2 linked regions of the Struthio camelus genome follow. The protein of the gene in region 2 interacts with the protein of the main gene of each other region in a pairwise test. Links are inferred from orthologs where the notes say so. Each region holds a gene or a part of one and is shown on either strand. Other genes may lie near its edges.

Region 1 (10,091 bases), on a different chromosome or scaffold from region 2:
GCTGCTGCGCCAGGCCCTGCCGCCGGCCTGAGCGGCCCCGGCCCCCCTCCATCTCCTCCTCTTCCTCCTCTTCCTCCTCTTCCTCCTCCTCCTCCTCCTCCTCTTCCTCTTCCTCCTCCTCCTCCTCTTCCTCCTCCTCCTCCTCTTCCTCCTCCTCCTCCTCTTCCTCCTCCTCCTCCTCTTCCTCCTCCTCCTCCTCTTCCTCCTCCTCCTCCTCCTCCTCTTCCTCCTCCTCCTCCTCTTCCTCCTCCTCCTCCTCTTCCTCCTCCTCCTCCTCTTCCTCCTTCTCCTCCTCTTCCTCCTCCCTGCCTTCCTCTTCCTCCTCACCCTCCTCCTCTTCCTCCTCCTCGCTATTCTCCTCTTCCTCTTCATCCTCCTTGCCTTCCTCCTCGCCGTCCTCCTCTTCCTCCTCGTCCTCCTCCTCTTCCTCCTCCTTACCTTCCTCCTCCTCCTCCTCCTCGCCTTCCTCCTCCTCCTCCTCCTCGCCTTCCTCCTCCTCCTCGCCTTCCTCCTCCTCCTCGCCTTCCTCCTCCTCCTCGCCTTCCTCCTCCTCCTCGCCTTCCTCCTCCTCCTCGCCTTCCTCCTCCTCCTCGCCTTCCTCCTCCTCCTCGCCTTCCTCCTCCTCCTCCTCCTCGCCTTCCTCCTCCTCCTCGCCTTCCTCCTCCTCCTCGCCTTCCTCCTCCTCCTCGCCTTCCTCCTCCTCCTCGCCTTCCTCCTCCTCCTCGCCTTCCTCCTCCTCCTCGCCTTCCTCCTCCTCCTCGCCTTCCTCCTCCTCCTCGCCTTCCTCCTCCTCCTCCTCCTCGCCTTCCTCCTCCTCCTCCTCCTCGCCTTCCTCTTCCTCCTCCTCCTCGCCTTCCTCTTCCTCCTCCTCTTCCTCCTCGCCATTCTCACCTTGCTCGCTGCTCTCCTCCTCCTCACCTTCCTCTGCCTCCTCCGCCTCCTTGTCACCCTCCTCTTCATCACTCTCCTTGCCCTCCTCCTTCTCCCCCTCCTCGTCTTCGCCCTCCTCGCCCTCGCTGTCATCATCTTCACCCGCATCGTCCTCTCCTTCCTGCCCCTCCTCCTCCTCCTCGCTCTCCTCGTTGTCACCATCGCCCTCCTCGCGCTCTTCCTCGCCCTTCTCATCCTCTCCCTCATCCTTGTCCTCACCGTCATCATCCTCCCTCTCACTCTCATCCTCCCTCTTCTTCTCCTCGCCTTCCTCCTCCTCCTCCTCTTCACCCCCGCCCTCACCGTAGCCTTCCTCATGCTCCTCTTCACCCTCACCTTCCTCCTCCTCCTCCCCCCACCCAACACTGGAAACGCCAAACACTACTGACACGGGGACCCTCCCCCGCACCCTCCCGGACGCCTGGGCCCCTCCCGGACATCGGGCCCCTCCCGGACAACTGGGACCCTCCTCGGATACCTGCGACCCTCCCGGACGCCTGGGTCCCTTCCTGGGCACCTGGGCCCCTCCCCGGACGCCTGGGACCACCCGGACGCCTGGGCCCCTCCCCAGATGCCCGGGCCCCTCCCCGGACGCCTGGGACCACCCGGACGCCTGGGCCCCTCCCCAGATGCCTGGGGCCCTCCCCGGACGCCTGGGACCACTCGGACGCCTGGGCCCCTCCAACTCGGGCTGTCTCCACTCGACCCTTTCAGCCGCTTTCTCATTTGTCCGCGGGGGCCTCGTTAGTGCGGGGAGGGGGGTTAATGAGGGGTGGGGGTGGGTGGGGGAGGGGCTGGGCGGAGCCGGAAATTTTTACACTTAATATATAGAATTTTTTTTCTTTTTTTTTTCTTTTTTTGGTGAGCTGCTGGTTTCTGCCTCGTCTGTCCCGGGGGTGGGGGGCGCCCGGACGCCTGGGCCCCCTTGGTAGGGGGTGGGGGGGGAAGGGCAGGGGCTCCCTCCCCCCAGGGGACCCAGGCGTCCGGCTTGCCTCCCCGCCCCCGTTCTCTGACGCACAGAGACCTGCCCGGGGCCCAGGCGTCCGGGAAGGGACCCAGGCGTCCGGGGATTTCCCGGCTCAGTGAAGCAACGATTCTTGGAAGGTCTCAGAGCCCGTTGCGACAGGCGCGGCCCGGACGCCTGGGCCCCTGGGGGATGCGAGGTGTGGGAGAGCCTCAGCCGGACGCCTGGGTCCCTTTTATTTGGGGGGGGGTGGGGAGAAGCCCCGGACGCCTGGGTCCCTCGCTGGGGGAGGGGAGGCTCCCGGACGCCCGAGTTCCTGAGCCCTGAGTCACCGGGGTGGGGTGGGGGGGTTGCGTCACACTCCCGAAACGGGGCTGGCTAGGGAGGGCCCAGGCGTCCGGCCCCCCCCCCCCCCCAGGGACCCAGGCGTCCGGCCCCCCCCCCCCCCCCCTGCCGAGGGACCCAGGCGTCCGGGCGCCCCCGCACGTATCCGCCTCGGGTTGTGCAACCTGGAAAAAACCCGGCCATGGCATGACACGCGTGTTGAGGGGGGGCTATAGGGGCCCATAGGGACCTATAGGGGTTTCGGGGTGTAGGGGTGGGGGGGTGAGACTCTATAGGGGCCTTACGGGGGTCGGGGTGTGTGTAGGGGGGCTGGGGCTCTATAGGGGGTGGGGGGCGTGAGGCCGCTGCACCCCCCCATAGGGCCCCCACACCCCCCCCATAGGGCCCCCGCACCCCTATGCACCCCTATGCACCCCTATACACCCCCCCACTCCCCATGCACTGCACGTGCCCCCGTATGCCCCTATACACCCGTGTGTGCCCTTATGCGACAGTGCACCCCCTCTGCGCCCCATACACTGCGTCTGCCCATATGTTCCCTGGCACCCTATGTGCTTCTATACCCCCCCGTGCACTCCTATACACCCCTATACAACAGAATATCTCCTGCACCCCTATACCTCCTCTATACCCCTATATATCTCATGCACGCCTATGTGCCCATATGGCCCCGTATACCTCCTATATGCACCCCTATATAGTAGTGGAGCCCTTCTACACACCTATACACCCCCTACCCTCCATGTACCCCTATATCCCATGCACCGCTGTGCACTCCATACACCCACATACCCCCCTATGGACCCCTACACACCCCTATGTAGTGCAATGCACCCTATGATCCCCTATATGCTGCTATACCCCCCCATGGACCCCATGCAGCCCCAGTACCCTGATACTCTCCTCCATACTGCTCTATACCCCCTCAATGCTCCCTATACCCCCCAATACTTCCTATATCTCTTATATCCACCATACTCCCTATACCCCCATATTCCTCCACACTCCCTATACCCTCCATATCCCCTACACTCCCTATACCCTCTATATCCCCTATACCGCCATATCCCCTGAAACCCCTATATCCCCCCATACCCTCATATCCCATATATCCTCCCATACCCCCTACATCCCTCCATAACCCCGTATCTCCTATACTTCCCTATATCCTCCTATACCCCCATACCTCCTATACCCCTTATATCCCCATAACCCCCTATATGCCCTATAACCCCTATACCACCTATATTCCCCTCTACCCCCCATATCACCTCTATCTCCCCATAACCCCTATATCCCTTATACCCCCTATATTCCCCCATAACCCCTATATCACCTATACTGCCTATGTACCCCTATTTCCCCTATATCCCTTATATCCTCCATAACCACTATATCCCCTATACTGCCTATGTCCCCCATAACCCCTATATCCCCTATACCCTTTGTATCCCCCATAACCCCTATATCCCATATACTGCCTATATCCCCTATAACCCCTATATCCCCCTATACCCTCTATATCCCCCTATATCCCCATAACCCTTATACCCCCTATACCCCCTATATACCCCTATGTCCCCTATACCCCCCATATGCCCCCATAAGCCCTATAGCCCCATATCCCTTATTCCCCCCTACCCCCTCCCCGCCCCCGCGGTGGGCGGAGCCGGCTCCTCCCTCGCCCCGCCCCGCCCCGCCCCGCCGACCTCACCTCCCTCCCTCCCGCTCCCCCGCCAGCCAATCGGAAGCCGGGTCGGCGCCCCGCCCCGGCCTTCCGCGCGGCGCGGCCAATGGGAGGCGCCGGCGGGGCGGCGGGGGCGGGGCGGGGGGAGGCGAAGCTATAAGAAGGGCGCGGCGGCGCCGGCCGCCATTTTACAGCGATGGCGGCGGCGGCGGCGGCGACAACGACGACGACGACGACGGGGGCGGGGGCGGCTTGGCGGGCGGCGGCGGGCGGCGGGGGCGGCCCGGGCAGCGGCTTCGCCTCCCCGCCGCGGCGCTTCACCTTCGAGCTGCCGCCGCCGCCGCCCGCCGCCGCCCCCCGGCCCCGCCGCCGCCAGCGCCGCGTCCTCTACCCGCCCGCCGTGAGTAGCGCCGGGGGGGCGGGGGGCTCCCCGGACGCCTGGGCCCCCTCTTTTAGGGGTGTTTGGGGGGGGGTCCCCGGACGCCTGGGCCCCCTTCTGGGGGTGTTTGGGGGGGGGCTCTCTGGACGCCTGGGCCCCCCCTTCTGGGGGTGTTTGGGGGGGGCTCCCCAGACGCCTGGGCCCCCTCTTTTAGGGGTGTTTTGGGGGGGCTCCCCGGACGCCTGGGCCCCCTTCTGGGGGTGTTTGGGGGGGGGCTCCCCGGACGCCTGGGCCCCCTTCTGGGGGTGTTTGGGGGGGGCTCCCCGGATGCCTGGGCCCCCTTCTGGGGGTGTTTTGGGGGGGGCTCTCTGGACGCCTGGGCACTCTTAGGGGTGTTGGGGTGCTCCCCGGATGCCTGGGCCCCCCCTTCTGGGGGTGTTTGGGGGGGGCTCCCCAGACGCCTGGGCCCCCTCTTTTAGGGGTGTTTTGGGGGGGCTCCCCGGACGCCTGGGCTCCCCCCGGGGGTGTTATGGGGGGGCTCCCCAGACGCCTGGGCCCCCTCTTTTGGGGGTGTTTGGGGGAGGGGCTCCCCGGACGCCTGGGCCCCCTTAGGGGTGTTGGGGTGTTCCCCGGATGCCTGGGCCCCCCCTTCTGGGGGTGTTTGGGGGGGGGGGCTCCCCGGACGCCTGGGCCCCCTCTTTTAGGGGTGTTTTGGGGGGGGGCTCCCTGGACGCCTGGGCCCCCTTAGGGGTGTTGGGGTGTTCCCCGGATGCCTGGGCCCCCCCTTCTGGGGGTGTTTGGGGGGGGGCTCCCCGGATGCCTGGGCCCCCCCTCTCTGGGGGTATTTTGAGGGCTGCCCGGACTCCTGGGCCCCCGGAAGCTGCCGATTTCCCCTGCCGCAGGGGGGTGATTCATGATTCCTTCTCCACCTGACTCATCCCCCCCCACCCCCGCAGTGGGCCCAGGTGTCCGAGGCTCCCATCATGGGGGGGGGGGAGGCGATTTTTTAATTACCCCAATGATGCTGCAGGGCCAGGGCGGGTTGGGAGGCGAATGGGGGACACGTGGGAGCACTGGGGGGGTATTTGTCCCCTCGGGGGGGGTTAATTTGCCCCCCAGGGCAGTTGCTGACGGACTGATTTCCCCCCCCCCAGGTGCGACGGACGCCCCCCGGCGAGGAGCCGAGTCCGGCCAAGAGGCTCCTGGTGCTGCTGCTGGCGGTGGTGGGCGCCCAGGTATACAGCACCCCCGGGGAGGGGACGCCCCCCGGGACACCCGCCGGGACCCCCAGGACACCCGCCGGGACCCCCATGACACCAGTGACACCCATCAGGACACCAGTAATACCCACGACACCCGCCATGACCCCCACGACGCCCGCCAAGACCCCCACGACACCCACTGTGACACCCGCCACAGCACCCAGGACGCTCGGGGCCACCCCTGGGTCCCCCCCATCTGGGGACAGGACAGTTTTGGGGACATCCGCGGGGCTGCAGGCACCTAACGGCACCCTGGGGACCGGGGCACCCACGGGTGCCCCTTCCTGCCCCCGGCCGCTGCTCTCCCCTGCCCTGCTGCCCCCCGCTGCTGGCCCAGGGCCCGCGGCCCGCTGAGGGGCACCCGCCGTGGGGCGGCACCCAGGACCCGGCACCCGCCGTGGGGCGGCACCCAGGATGATGGACTTGTGACGGTGCCCATCACCGTAGCCTCGGGGCTGCACCTCAGGGACCCTCCTGTCACTTGTGGGGAGTGGGTAGGGTGGCAGCCGGCACCTTTGGGTGCTGCCCTCGGGGTGGCTCCTGCCTGCACCCTCCCCTGGTTATTTATTTTATTTTATTTTATTTTATTTTATTTTATTTTATTTAAGTGGGATTTATTTAATTTGGGTTTTTTTCTATTTATTACTGTTATTTAAAGAGGGGCGGCGCCCCTCCCCTGACTGAGCGTATTAAAGGGGCGCGTAGGAGCCCGGCGCGGGCCCGGACGCCTGGGCCCTTAGCGAAGGGAAGAGCCGCTCGCGCGGAGGCGGGAGGAAACCGCCGGGGCGCGAAAGCGGGGAAACGAAACCGTCAAAAGGGCGATTGTTTAACGTTGGACTGTTTCGTGCGGGTTCCTCCCTGGAGGCCCCGCCCGTTACCGCCTCGTTCCGGCGTTTCATTAAATAATTAATTGAGTCGTTGGACGTGCGGGAGACGCTGCTTCTTGGGAACCGAGGTGGGGGGAGCTGGTTCCACGACATCGGTGTGAGCCCGGTGCCGGTCCGGACGAGCCCGTAGAGCCTGGTTCTGGTCTGGACGAGCCCGCGAGGCCCCGTCGGGGTCCGTAGAGCCCGGTGTCGGTCCGGACGAACCCGTAGAGCCTGGTTCTGGTCTGGACGAGCCCGCGAGGCCCCGTCGGGGTCCGTAGAGCCCGGTGTCGGTCCGGACGAGCCCGTGAGGCCCCATCGGGGTCCATAGAGCCCGGTGCCGGTCCGGACGAGCCTGTGAGGCCCCGTCGGGGTCCGTGGAGCCCGGTGCCGGTCCGGACGAGCCTGTGAGGCCCCGTCGGGGTCCGTAGAGCCCAGTTCCGGTCCGGACGAGCATGTGAGGCCCCGTCAGGGTCCATACAGCCCGGTGCCGGTCCGGACGAGCTCGCGAGGCCCCGTTGGGGTCGGTAGAGCCCGGTTCCGGTCTGGACGAGCCCGCGAGGCCCCGTTGGGGTCGGTCCAGCCCAGTGCCGGTCCGGACGAGCCCGCGAGGCCCCGTCAGGGTCCATACAGCCCGGTTCTGGCCCGGACGAGCCCGCGAGGCCCCGTCAGGGCCCATACAGCCCAGTTCCGGTCCGGATGAGCCCGTGAGGCCCCGTTCAGGTCCGTAGAGCCCGGTTCCAGTCCGGACGAGCCCATAGCGCCCTGTCGGGGTCGGTCCAGCCCGGTTCCGGTCCGGACGAGCCCGTAGCGCCCCGTCAGGGTCCATACAGCCCGGTTCTGGTCCGGACGAGCCCGTAGCGCCCCGTCAGGGTCCATACAGCCCGGTTCCAGTCCGGACGAGCCCGTAGCGCCCCGTCGGGGTCGGTCCAGCCCGGTTCCGGTCCGGACGAGCCCGTAGCACACTGTCAGGGTCCATACAGCCCGGTTCCGGTCCGGACGAGCCCGTAGCGCCCCGTCAGGGTCCATACAGCCCGGTGCCGGTCCGGACGAGCCCGCGAGGCCCCGTTCGGGTCGGTCCAGCCCGGTTCCGGTCCGGACGAGCCCGTAGCGCCCCGTCAGGGCCCATACAGCCCGGTTCCAGTCCGGACGAGCCCGCGAGGCCCGGTCGGGGTCGGTCCAGCCCGGTTCTGGTCCGGACGAGCCCGTAGCGCCCCGTCAGGGTCCATACAGCCCGGTTCCGGTCCGGATGAGCCCGTAGCGCCCCGTCAGGGTCCATACAGCCCGGTTCCGGTCCGGACGAGCCCGCGAGGCCCCTTTCGGGTCGGTACAGCCCGGTTCCGGTCCGGACGAGCCCGTAGCGCCCCGTCAGGGTCCATACAGCCCGGTTCCGGTCCGGACGAGCCCGCGAGGCCCCGTTGGGGTCGGTCCAGCCCGGTTCTGGTCCGGATGAGCCCGCGAGGCCCCGTTGGGGTCCGTAGAGCCCGGTTCCGGTCCGGACGAGCCCGCGAGGCCCGGTCGGGGTCGGTCCAGCCCGGTTCCGGTCCGGACGAGCCCGCGAGGCCCGGTCGGGGTCGGTCCAGCCCGGTTCCGGTCCGGACGCGCCGGTACCGGCTCCCCCCTCGGCTGTTGCCTCCTGGGAGCCGCGCTCGCTCTTCCGTACGCTGCCGCCTCACGAGCGCTGCCATGTTCCCCCTTCTCACTGGGCGCGGCCATCTTGCCCGCTGGCCGTACAGCCCCCCTCCCTCGCCTCGGCGGGCACTTCCGGTTCCGCCGGAAGTGGCGTCGCTCTTTCTCCGGCCGGGGTTGCCTGCCGCCTGCCGCCGCCGCCAGCGGGAGCGGCCCGGGGCCTGCGCCGAATCCGCCGCCATCCGCCCGCCGCCGCCGCCGCCGCCGCCATGACGGAGCAGATGACGCTGCGCGGCACCCTGAAGGGCCACAACGGCTGGGTGACGCAGATCGCCACCACGCCGCAGTTCCCGGACATGATCCTCTCCGCCTCGCGCGGTGAGGGCCGGGCGGGACCATCCACCCCCCTCCGGGGGGGGGGGGGGACGGGGGGGAGGGAGAGACCATCGACCCCGAGTGGGGGGGGGAGACTATCGACTCCCGGGTGTGTGGGGGGGAGACCATCGCCCCCCGGGTGTGTGGGGGGGAGACCATCGCCCCCCGGGTGTGTGGGGGGGAGACCATCGACCCCGAGTGGGGGGGGGGGGGGAAGACTATCGACTCCCGGGTGTGTGTGTGGGGGGGGGGGAAGAGAGACCATCGCCCCCCCGGGTGTGTGTGTGGGGGGGAGACCATCGGCCTCCCCCGGGTGGGGGGAAAGAGGTGCTGGGGGTGGGTGTGGGTCATGGAGGTGGGGAGAGGAGCAGGGGGAGCCTTGGCCGGGGTGGGGGAGAGACCATCAGGCTGGCGGGGTGGAGGGGGGAATGGGGCAGGCTGTCAGGCTAGGAGGGGAGAGGGGCCACGGGGAGACCCTCAGCCTGGAGGGGAGGGGGAAGATAGGGCAGGGGAGACCTTCGGCCTGGGGGAGGGGGGCAGGGGGAGACCGTCAGCCCGGAGGACAGGGGAGAGGGGGGTAGGGGGAGACCGTCAGCCCGGAGGACAGGGGAGGGGGGGCAGGGGGAGACCACCAGCTGAGGTGGAGGGAAGAGGGGGAAGATCACCGGCTTTGGGAGCAAAGAGGAGCAGAAGAGACCTTGGGGAGGGGAAAAGGGGGGAGACTATGAGTGTGCCGGGGGGAAACCGTGAGCCTAGAGGGTGGAGGAGCAGGGGGAAAGCACGGGCTGCAAGAAGAGGGGCAGGAGAAGACAACGTCCGTCGGGAAGGAAGAAGAGGGAGGGGGGCGGGGGGAGACCGTGGGCCTGAGGACGAAGAGGGAGGGAGGGAGGCAGGCAGGCAAGGGGAGACCGGGAGCTGGGGGAAGAAGGGCAGCGGGGCCGCCGGGGAGCCCGGCTCACTCTTCTCCCTGCTCTTTCTCGGTGCCGCCCAGACAAGACGATCATCATGTGGAAGCTGACGCGGGACGAGACCAACTACGGGATCCCGCAGCGAGCGCTGCGCGGTCACTCGCACTTCGTCAGCGACGTGGTCATCTCCTCGGACGGGCAGTTCGCGCTCTCGGGCTCCTGGGACGGCACGCTGCGGCTCTGGGACCTCACCACGTGAGCGAGCCGGGGCGGGCAGAGGGCAGGCGCGGGAGCCCGCCCGGCCGCCGGGCTCCGACGGCGGGGAACTCGGGCCCCTCGGCTGGGGGGACATCCTGACCTCGCGCCTGCGTCTTCCCCCGCAGCGGCACCACCACCCGCCGCTTCGTGGGCCACACCAAGGACGTGCTGAGCGTGGCCTTCTCGTCCGACAACCGCCAGATCGTTTCGGGCTCCAGGGACAAGACCATCAAGCTCTGGAACACCTTGGGCGTCTGCAAGTACACGGTGCAGGTGAGCCGGGGAAGGAGGCACCGGGGCAAGGAGTGGAGGGGGGGGGACGGTTTCGGATCACGCCGCCCCCGTTCGGCGAACAGGAGCGTAGCCGCTCCGTCGCGCCGTGAGAAAGGAGCTCCGTGGCTTTGTTTTTGGGTCTACCCGTCCGCGCCGCCCCCCGCTCGGTCGCTCTTGAGCGGGGATCCAGCTCTTCCAGCCCCGTCCCTGATGAT
Region 2 (10,185 bases):
GGGGGGAAAAAAGGCAGTCTAAGCAATTAGAGAATACTGTAGAGGACAGGGTTAATGCAGTTTGCTTATGCAAAAGTATAAATTAGATATGGAGAAAACCACAAGCATTTATCATTACTTCTCCATCTCTGAGACACAGGACTTAAATCCAGACCAGAACCAGTTTACTTTCCTGAAATGCATAAAAGGAAAAATCCCAAACTCCGTTCTTAAATTAGAATATATCTAAATTAAGCGAAATTATACAAAACTATGAACAAGCATAACTTTGTCCTCAGCATACACTTTTGTATAGTATGCAGCAATAATGCATAATAGGTAAAAGTGCTCTTGAGGGATCTTTTTAAATTTAAAAAAAGCTTTTAAAAAGCTTTTAAAAGTCTTAAAGTTTTATTTCTGAGTTGAAATCCTGAGGAGTCTGTTGTTCATTATAGGTACAACATGAAATGATTATCTTCTAATACTAAGTGTTTATCTTGATTTGAGGAATAAATGTGCGCTCTCGCTCTCTCTCTCTCTATATATATATATGTATATATATAAAAGGAAGAATTAGAAAAGAAATGTTTCTGGCAAATAAGTTGGATTTATTATTATTTATTAGTAATTAAAGTAACTTTGCATGTGGTGAATCTACAGTTAGTCAAGAACTTTAGACTTCAGCAGTATGCAGCTATAAATGCCCTTTTTATACCCGTCCGTAAATAAATGTGACAGTTGAGAAAATAACATTTTGTTTTGCTAGGGGTTAAAGTTACCACAGTTCATCTGTTAGAACCCTTAATTACACAGCAATTACAATTTCTAATGCTAAATATCTTGACTGAACATGCTGTATATCAAATATAAATAGGAAAACATTTTTCCATATGAACAGTTCCCATATAAATTTTCAGTAGTGTGTAAATTGCATGTCACTTCATTCACATATACAAATTTAGCAGCAAAGAGCATGATCCTTTCATAACAAGCTGGCCAACATAGGCGAAGGAAATCGTGATTTTACAGATCAAATACCTTAAACCATGAAAGTTGGATGCTAAGACTTCCTTTTCCTTTTGTAGATATTTTAATGGAGCAGCTTAATTTCAGCACTGTTTTTCTTGATCAGGATGGTATACAATGTAGAACTCATTAGCTGTTAACTCCTGATGCAGAGTAATGTATTTGGAAGCTTTCTTTGTCTGTGGGATCACAAATTTCTCTGTGAATTCACTTTTACTCATTTGCGGCTTCCCTTGTGCAGTCAGCACACTGTTAATAAATGCCAGTGCGTATGTGTAGCAGTTGTGGTCATGTTCTTCATACCTAGGAAAAATATATCATTAATAAGTGTTAGCACTAATTTTTTAATTACTGTGTGGAGGAATATATTTTATTGAGCAACATAAAGGCGCACATGTTCTCCAAGAACTACTGCCGCTTGCCTTTAATGCTGGTGCTTAAATATATTCTACATATAGCAGGTTGCACTTTCCAAGCCAGAGATGCTAGAAACCATAAACTTTAAAAAAAAAAAAAGCTGCAGAGTCTAATGAGGTTTTTTTACCTACACATTAGGTTTTTGCCTTGCTAACCTTCACTCTTTGAACTGATACATCGTTACTCTGTTATCCTGAAAACTGCTTCCTGCAGCAGTAATATTATGTACCACCACCTCCACTGCTTTCAGCGTGGCATTAACCTGGAAGCCTACTTAAAACCAAGTAAATTCTATCACTAGTATCTCGATAGAGTTGCTATGCAGTGTTCCAGTCAAACTCCCATTGGTACTAAATTGTGCCAAGTGTGCAAGGACAGAAATACTAACTGAATAGGAGTCAGCGTTTAAAATGTTTTTCTTGTCCTTTTTTTTTTTTTTTAATACCTGCATATGGCACTTAGCTGTTCTCTTTTCACTGTCATAATGTTATTCAGCTTCTCCGAAATGTTTCATGTAGTCACTAACAACTTCAGCAATTTATTCCATTCGTCACTGCACAGTGCTACTCTTGCCATTGGTCCTGTATAATTGCATTTGATACGGACCTGGTCAGACTGCTGTCTGCCATCTGCCTAATCCTCAAGCTGCTTCTGTAATTGCCTGTGTCATTTTCCCTTTGTTCTTCCTAGCCCTGTGACTCATTCCTTGCTTCATATTGTTAGTGGCTCCATAGTCTGTGTTGATACAGGAAATTTTGTATAAGGCTTGCATGTTTTTGCAAGATCTGGAGACTATTGCTATCAAAACTTGTCCAGTTAAGGGTTGCTCACTGCTCTCTCCAAAGCTTTTCTGGTTTGTTGAGTCTATTTTAAGTGACCTATGAGCTCCCATTTTGGAAGTAAGCCATGTGCTGCAGAGTACTTACTTTACCAAAATAATTGTTAAAGCAAAATTGAGCAACTTCAAGAGACCACCATCTCTGTGCGGTGCAAAACATCTGGAAATTCCATTGCAAAAAATGGTGGTTTAACTTTAGCTCAGTGTTGAGTCTGCAAAGCACTGCAGCACGTCCTGAAAATTTATGTATATGCATAAGTGCTTTAGTGAATCAGTGCCATGATAGAGTAGAGCAGATGTTTAACAAATCTCATTTCTGGATGCAGACTCTCTTTGTTTTTCATAATGCAATTGATTCTGTAATACCCTTCTTAGCATCTGTGTTTCCAAGTTAGTGTCTTTTTTTTTGGGAAGCATGTCTTGATGTCTTAACAAGCAAAACCCAATATTTTTCACTAACGTAAGATATTTCTGGTCATGTCTGCACTTGCTGTTGTTTGCTGCCTTTATATACCATCCTTCCAGTAAGTGAAAAGCAAACAGGAGAATTAGAATTAGGCTTGGCCCAAACCCAAAGGAGAGGTACAGGATTAGTTTAGCACAGTTCCTGTCCTGTTAAAAAAAATAAACCGAGGATTTAAATTAACTTCTAAAAAAACTCACTTTTCAGCACTTTAGTGGTCACTCTTCTATTTCTGGAACAAGTAGGCCACTTTGACAGGAGGTGGCAGACAGGGTATCTATCAACTATTCTTTGCATTCAAGGGAAAAATCAAAGAAAGGTACATACACCTACCCTCTCCTCTACCATTGCTTTTTGACAGCACATTAATTTTAATAACAACATTAATGCACCGGGAATTGTAAAAGTGTCAGATACTTGAAACACCAATGGGATTTTTGTTCTATAGACACTTAAAATTGGATCCTAGATCAAATTCTTGCATCTCCTGATATTAGGGACATAACTTGCTCTGAAATTTTACGGTCAAGCACCTACAGAACTGCTAAACCTGTTTTGGGTCCCCCCCCCCCCTTTTATATAAGATGCTGTCTACTGCCATTAACATAACTCTTCGTAGAACTGGGCTCAGACAGGCTGTTTGTTAAATGTACTCTTACTAATGAAAATTTCAAAGAGCAAGCTGCTTTGTCACCAGCAAGCTTAGTGACGTGGCACCACGTTTCAGCCGGGCTGCGTAACTTGTAACACTGTCAACAGTGGCATCAACTTCAAGGAAAGCCAAAAAGGGAACTGAACGTTCCAGTTGGAACATACTAGTTGAATTCAAAATACGTGGAAGTTTTTCTGTATCTAACCAGCCAAAACAAAATGCTACAAACCAGCTGGAAGAGCTGATCACTGGCAATGAGCGAGTCCTCTGGATGTCAGCTCTGAGCAAGAATCCCATCAATATGGTCAGGATTTCAGCCTTTAAATCCAAATTCACCTAGGACAGTTGAATTCTAGGACAAATATAATTATACAGTTGTACCTGGATTTCTCTACTTCTGTAGCCTTTCTTAACACAGCACATTCCTTAAGGCTGTGTTTCAGTGAATTGGTCTTTTCCCCTGCAAAATTATTTTGTTGCTGAAGAAAACTTCCCGAAAACATTCTTTTCGGTTAAGGCTTCTACATTCCAGCAGGTGAGTTTAAGTTAGTTACTACTTTAATGCTATTGTTCTGTTTAGCAAGGCCAATGAGTTTCTAGATTACTTAAGAGTTGTTTAGACTTGTTAGACACGCGTGTCTAACAGAGCAAGCCTCTGAAGCCTTGGAGGATCCAAAACAGAATAACCAAATTTATCATCCTAGATTAAATACTCCTATTAAATCCAGCTTTTAAGCTACCTACCTGTGAGGTAGCCAGGCCTCTCCCGCAGAAAATTCCTCTAGGAGCTTATCCCATTGGTGAAGAAGCCCAAACATGTCTGGCTGTACTAGTGGGATACTAATGCACTGTTCCCATCCAGTTTCATCTCTGTGAATGCCCTCTTCATCGTAATTATATACCAAGCCTGAAAATAGAGAGCAGCAGACAGTCAGGTAGTACTGAAGGATCAGGTGGAAAGCCATTCCCCAGTGATGAAAGCTGCTACTGATTTTCCACAACGCCGTTCTTATTTAGACTAGTTATACCATAGCTTTCCGATCAGTGGCCTCCTCCTGCTACAGAGTGAAACCTAATTATTATTATTTTTTAAATCAAGGAACTGTTCACAATTCAACATTGTGCTTTCGCATATCTTTGCATAACGAAGACAACTTAAGGACAGAAAGGCTTCTTTTTTAAACCCCAAAGTAGACCATTTCTATATTAAATAAACATTCCCTTGACATGTTTGCAATTGAGACATGCTCAATGCTTCTACTGTGTGAGAACGGGAGAGTAAATCAACTAGGAAGGGATAAGGAACTGAGAACAGTCCCACTTTGTTGTTCAAGATGAGTAAATTAGAAAACAGAAAGTATGTGGTACAGAATAAAATATAAAAGTTTTTAGGTATCAATATCGAAGACATTAATCCAGCACACGGACCAGGATTTCCTTTAAAATACAATTTCTAACATGACTTTTTTGTATCATTACGGCTGTATTTTGAGAATTAGCAAAAACTGTGCTGAATTGGAAGTTTCCTGAAACTTCTTTAGAAGGACAGGCTGCTGCGTTTTTATTTCTGAGTCCAGGAAGAGCAGTCAGCGGTGCATGCCATTCTGTGCAGCTGCTCAGAACGGAGGTGGCCCTGGGGAGCCACGGCCTAGGGGCTCTGATTTGAAGCTCTTTGTGCTCGCTGCTGCAGGGCACGATAAACGGTCGGCCCAAGGTATTTCGGCCTGTGAGCGATACTCCTTAGACGTCAACAGCGAGGCCTCCGGTTTGCGTACCCGCAGCAGCGTGAGGAAGCGTGCGTTCTTCAGCAGCAAACATCAGATACCGGGGCGCTACAGCTCGCCTTTTTAACATTAAGTTCCAAACAGCTGCACAGCAATAGATTTGGCTCTGAAATGACTGTCACGCAATTCGATCGCCTTCGAAGGCGGAGAGCGGCAAAGCTAAACTGGGAACACAGCTTACACACGAGGGATGGGAGACCGGCAGCAGGCACCAGAGCACTTCTTACCATTCATGTTGCTGATTCCAACATGAAGATCGGACTTCCCATCATAGCCTCTGAAAGGAAAAGAGCAGTATTTCTGTGCTTGTTCCCGTTAGACACGGCCTTCAAACGTCCCTTTTCCCAGAACAGCTGCTACCTCCTGGGCTACCCGGCCCCAGGCCGCTGGCAGGCCGGAGGGAGGCGGAAAGGAGCCGCCAGCGGGCGAAGGGCACGTGAAGCTGGGGGGCCGCAAACCCCAGCAGGCTCCCTCCCCCGGCCGAGGGCAGCCCGCGGGCGGCAAGGGGGGCAGCCGACGCCCCGGGCCCCCAGGCCGCCGCCGCCGCCGCCCGCCCGCCCGGCCCGGCCGTACCCGAGGAAGGCGGCGGGGCCGGCGGGCCGCAGCAGGAAGGCGCCGCGCTGGCGGTGCCCGCGGCGGAAGGGGCTGGGGAGGCGCACGGGGGCGGCGGGCAGCGCGGCGCCGCGCAGGGGGCGGCCGCAGGCCGGGCAGCGCGCCGGCGGGCGGCGGCAGAAGATGTCGGGCCCGCAGTGCCGCAGCCGCACGATGGCGGCCGTGGCCATGGCGGCCGCCGCTCTGCCCCGAGCCCGGCCCGGCCAAACCCATTGCGCCGCCTTCCGGCCTCCGCTCGCCTCGATGGCTCGCGTGAGCGACGCTCTAGCCTGCCCTCGCGCGCCTCCGTGGCGCGGTGCGTCACTGAATGGTGTCCCCCGGCGCTGGCTGGCTGGCCAAGGGGCGGGGAGCGCGCGGAGGAGGGCGGCCCCGGCCCGGCCCCGCCTCGCGCTCTCCCGAGGCTGAGCGGAACCAAGAGCGCGCGCCGCGCGGAGCCGGCCGGGCGGCGGCGCCGGCGGGGCGGCGGCCAAGATGAGCACGAAGGAGGTGACCTGCAGGTGAGCGCGGCCCGGCCCAGCCCGGCCCGGCCCGGCTCGGCCCGGCCCGGCTCGGTTCGGTTCGGCCTGGCCTGGCCTTGTCCCAGCCCCGGCTTAGCCCCGGCCCCTCGGGACAGCGGAGCCGCTCGGGGCCTTCGGCCCACGGTGGCGACAAGGCGTCCCACCCCCCCCGAGCCTTGGCGCTTCCCCTCGGCCCGGCCCGGCCCGGCGGCGGGAGCGCTTCTCTTTTCCCGGATTCCCCCCAGCTCAGCGACACCGGTCAAAAACTTGGTAATTGGCCAAGTGCGTCTGTGAGGGACGAGGGGAGGTGGTGTCTGTGTTGTCTCGGGCTGTTTGGAGGGAGGGGGGAGGCGTAGAGAGCTTTGTAGCTTTTTTATGCATCGTTTCCTAACAGAGGATTCTCCTTTGGAGAAAGGCCAAAGATCAGGTTTGAGCTGGAAATGTTAGCTGAAGTTTCTTCTGGGAAGTAAACCACTGCTATGCTGATTTTTACAAAACAGGTGTCTATGACCATAATTACTTTTCTCTCAGGTATTATATGCAAGGAGTATGTCGGGAGGGAAATAAGTGTCTGTTTTCGCATGACTTATCTACAAGCAAGCCGTCTACTATTTGCAAATATTACCAGAAGGGACAGTGTGCCTATGGAACTCGGTGCAGGTAAAGACCATAGTTTTGGGGGGGGGGGGGGGTGTTGAGCTTTTCAGAACCAGAAATAATAATCATGTGCAGTAGGCCTTAGACTCCAGTGAATGGAAGATCAAGAAAGGATGAGACTTCTAAAATGACAAAAGGAATGAAATAATATATTAAATAATGAGGTGGTTTTTTTCCTCTGCCAAAACCAGCTTACGAATGCAATACTGTCTGGCTCCGTTTTAGCTTTAGCAGTTATCTTACTCTGTAGAAATTAAATTTCAGGTTTCAAGTGTATTTTCACCCAGTTCTTAGTAGTATTTTAAGAACTGTTAAATTATTAAGAACTGCTAAAAACAACCTTTGATGTGTACCATTGCACAAAGTAGTATCTACTGGAATTGTTTATTTTTCATATTGCTGAGTTGGATGGAAGCGGACAGTGTTTCAGAAGTGCTTTACTCAGTTCATGTGATGTAGGTTGGAGCCTTGTTCTTTCAGATCCTAATGCAGAATGTGGAGGACTGTCAGTTCTGTGTTAGAGCAAAGTGATTTTATTCACCCTCTGTCAGGTTCTGTGGGAAAGTGGAAGACGTGCCACACCCTTTCCTAAAGCCTTCTTGGTAAAATTCTTTGGGAAATACTCTAGTAAATATTAGATGTTAGTAAACGTTGTTACATCCCATGAGAGATGTGCCACAGGGCAACTCATGACTCCTTCATGGAAAAATTCTGGTCACAGGTAAGAAAGCTTTGTACGTTCACCTGAGAAGAACGGGAGATCTCACAGCATCGTTGTGTTTGCAATGGCTTAGTTGTATTTGCTTTTGGATTGGGAGATTGAATGTTAGTGTATTCTATAAGTGTCTTTAGTTGCTCAAACTGAATTTGTAGTTTATTATTCATCAGGACCACGTTGTATGCTGACTGGGAAATAATGACAGCTGCAGAGCGTGTTGGTTTTACTCCAGTTGCCTTGTTGGTGTTCAGGGCACTTGATGCACGCAAGCTGTTCGTGTGTATGGCAAACTTGCAGGTGCTACGTACAGGGCTAGAAACAAACAGGGAGAATTCTCTCCTTCCCTTCAAAAATATTCTAGGATTCAGGTATGTCCGTGGCTTTACTGTACCAGCCTTTTTATTGCACTAATTGCTTCTGTTCTATTGCTGGAGTATATTTCCAGAGCTTTACTGGATATTCCGAGTCCTTTCCTAGCCCGTGTTCAAATAGTGCATCTTCTGCCTGTGGTGCGAGGGCATAAAGTTTGTGTTACTGCTTGTGAGGGGAACATGAGCGATCATAAAACGTCACTCATTACTGCATAGCGTTTTGATGTCGCTTTTTTGAGAAATGTCAGCAAACCTGTTTGTGTGAGGGAATGACGAAGATCTAATTTAATATGCACATGAATAATGTTCTTTCAGCCATGCCATGCTGCACGTCTCCGGAGAAGAAAATATAGGTGTGCTTTCAGAGGCGTACATTTTCGTAGGTGTTTCAGAGACACTGAGAAACCCAGTGGCCTGGCTTTGAAAGGGACCGAGCTGACTGTTGTTAGGTCAACTTCTTGTCAAAATAACCCTTTTTTTAAGACAGCTATTCAGTTTGATTTATGTTAAATAAAGGCGAAGGTGTTCATCAGGGGACCTTTCCATTTCCACTATTCCCTGAGTTTAGTCTTTGTAGCGTTTATTCTGGCTTTTCCCTTCTGTAGATATGATCACACCAGACTTCCTGCGTCGGGGGGTGCAGCGGGTCCTGTGCCGCCTCCCCTTTCATCATCAGCCCTGCACAATCCTCGCCACCCCCCAGAGCAGAGCGCACCAGTAATCAAGAGCAAACTGCATGAGACTGGCAAACGGGAAAAGAAGACGTTAGTGCTCAGGGACAGAAGTGAGTACCTTGCTGACGTTCCTCAATGCTTTCCTCTCATCTTTGATAGAAGTTAGCTAGTTTTACACCTCTAATTAATTATATTTCACTGACAGCTAGAGAGTGGTGTAGTATGCCTTCCTGCTTCATGAGATCCCTTTTCTCGAAAGACCCATGCCTGTCAGTAGCTTGTAATCATATCAGTTTTAACTGGCTGGTTTTTAACCTGGTGTTCCCTGAAAGATTTTTTTTCTTCAAGATTCCCTGCCCCTCAGATCTTTTTGTGCGTTTTGTTCTCAACATGAGGGCTTTTGAAATGGTGAGAAACTTGACTGCTTTATACCAGGGTATTGTCAGGTTGGGGGACTGAACTAGCACAAGCACAGAGACATCCTTCCGTGCCTGATGCCTGAGGACAGGGGAGCCACCTCCCCCCCCCCCCCCCCCGGTCACTGGCACGCCTACACGATTTCCCCACCCTGTTCTTCCTATCGCACTCTACGTGTCAGTTGCCCACATGTGAATTTGGAGGATTTTTGTCCTATTTGTAAGCAGAAGATAGCTAAAAAGACCTTAAAATCAGGCTTTGCAGCAGGTAGTTTGATGGAAAAAGTTATTGCGCTTTGTGAGCAAAAGGGGCTTTGAGATGAGAAAATTTCCTTCTAAAGAAAACTTTTTTTTTTTTTTGAACTGTCAATCATTGAAAAGAAAGTATGTGGAGCTCCATATGTGAGTTTTGTGCTGTGCCTTGAATGGTTCATGTTATGTTTCTATTTCTTAAGATCTGTGTGGTTTGAATGAAGAAAAGCAGAAACCCAGTGCCACAAGTGATGTGGTATGTTGCAGCGACAAAAATGATAATCTGGAAATGAAACCCCATTCGTATTTGGAAGCTATTTGCAGTGGACTGGAAGATCCAGTAGCTGGAAGTTCCTGTGTTGATGGAGAGCAGTTATGCCCTTACGCTGCAGCAGGAGCATGCCACTTTGGAGATCGCTGCCTTTACCTCCATGGAGACGTGTGTGAAATATGTGGATTGCAAGTACTTCATCCTTTTGACCAAGAACAGAGGAAGGCTCATGAGATGGTAATATTTTGGTTTGCTTGCTCTGAAATCCGAAGATGTGTTCTGCAGAGCAGCCTGTTGTTCCAAAGGGCTTTTTTTGTTTGTCGAGGTATAAAATGATTCTGAGAGAGGCCTGCTCAAGCATCTAGGACTTACACTCGTGGGTAGCAATGATGCAGATAGCCTTTCACAGCAACTTATTTTTCTCCCTTTCATCTTAATGGGAAACTTGCCTCCGATCTTCCCCCAAAACACCTAAAACTGTCTAGAAAACATCTTTTGTAGCTATATCAGATGTCTCAACACTATGTTATGTATAGCAGAGGGAGGAGGAATTCTAGA

What was found. The genes of interacting proteins can lie anywhere in the genome.
Region 1: the proteins of MKRN2 (region 2) and RACK1 interact in binary tests that used the Homo sapiens proteins (3 or more experiments, as listed by UniProt). The two-hybrid records come from large-scale screens. The link is inferred for Struthio camelus from reciprocal best matches to the Homo sapiens genes MKRN2 and RACK1.

The regions. Positions count from the first base shown.
Region 1 is NC_090977.1:571,014-581,104, reverse strand, and holds the start of RACK1 (small ribosomal subunit protein RACK1), read left to right. Parts: upstream 1-6,019; 5' UTR 6,020-8,331; coding exon 8,332-8,440; intron 8,441-9,428; coding exon 9,429-9,600; intron 9,601-9,728; coding exon 9,729-9,876; intron 9,877-10,091. Other genes in the region: DDR1 (epithelial discoidin domain-containing receptor 1), read left to right, coding at 1-31. UniProt on the Homo sapiens protein: Scaffolding protein involved in the recruitment, assembly and/or regulation of a variety of signaling molecules. Interacts with a wide variety of proteins and plays a role in many cellular processes.
Region 2 is NC_090955.1:20,006,567-20,016,751, reverse strand, and holds the start of MKRN2 (E3 ubiquitin-protein ligase makorin-2), read left to right. Parts: upstream 1-6,145; 5' UTR 6,146-6,242; coding exon 6,243-6,268; exon of another isoform or gene 6,269-6,538; intron 6,539-6,799; coding exon 6,800-6,928; intron 6,929-8,619; coding exon 8,620-8,798; intron 8,799-9,559; coding exon 9,560-9,864; intron 9,865-10,185. Other genes in the region: MKRN2OS (MKRN2 opposite strand protein), read right to left, coding at 1,089-1,308, 4,120-4,282, 5,387-5,436, 5,733-5,941. UniProt on the Homo sapiens protein: E3 ubiquitin ligase catalyzing the covalent attachment of ubiquitin moieties onto substrate proteins.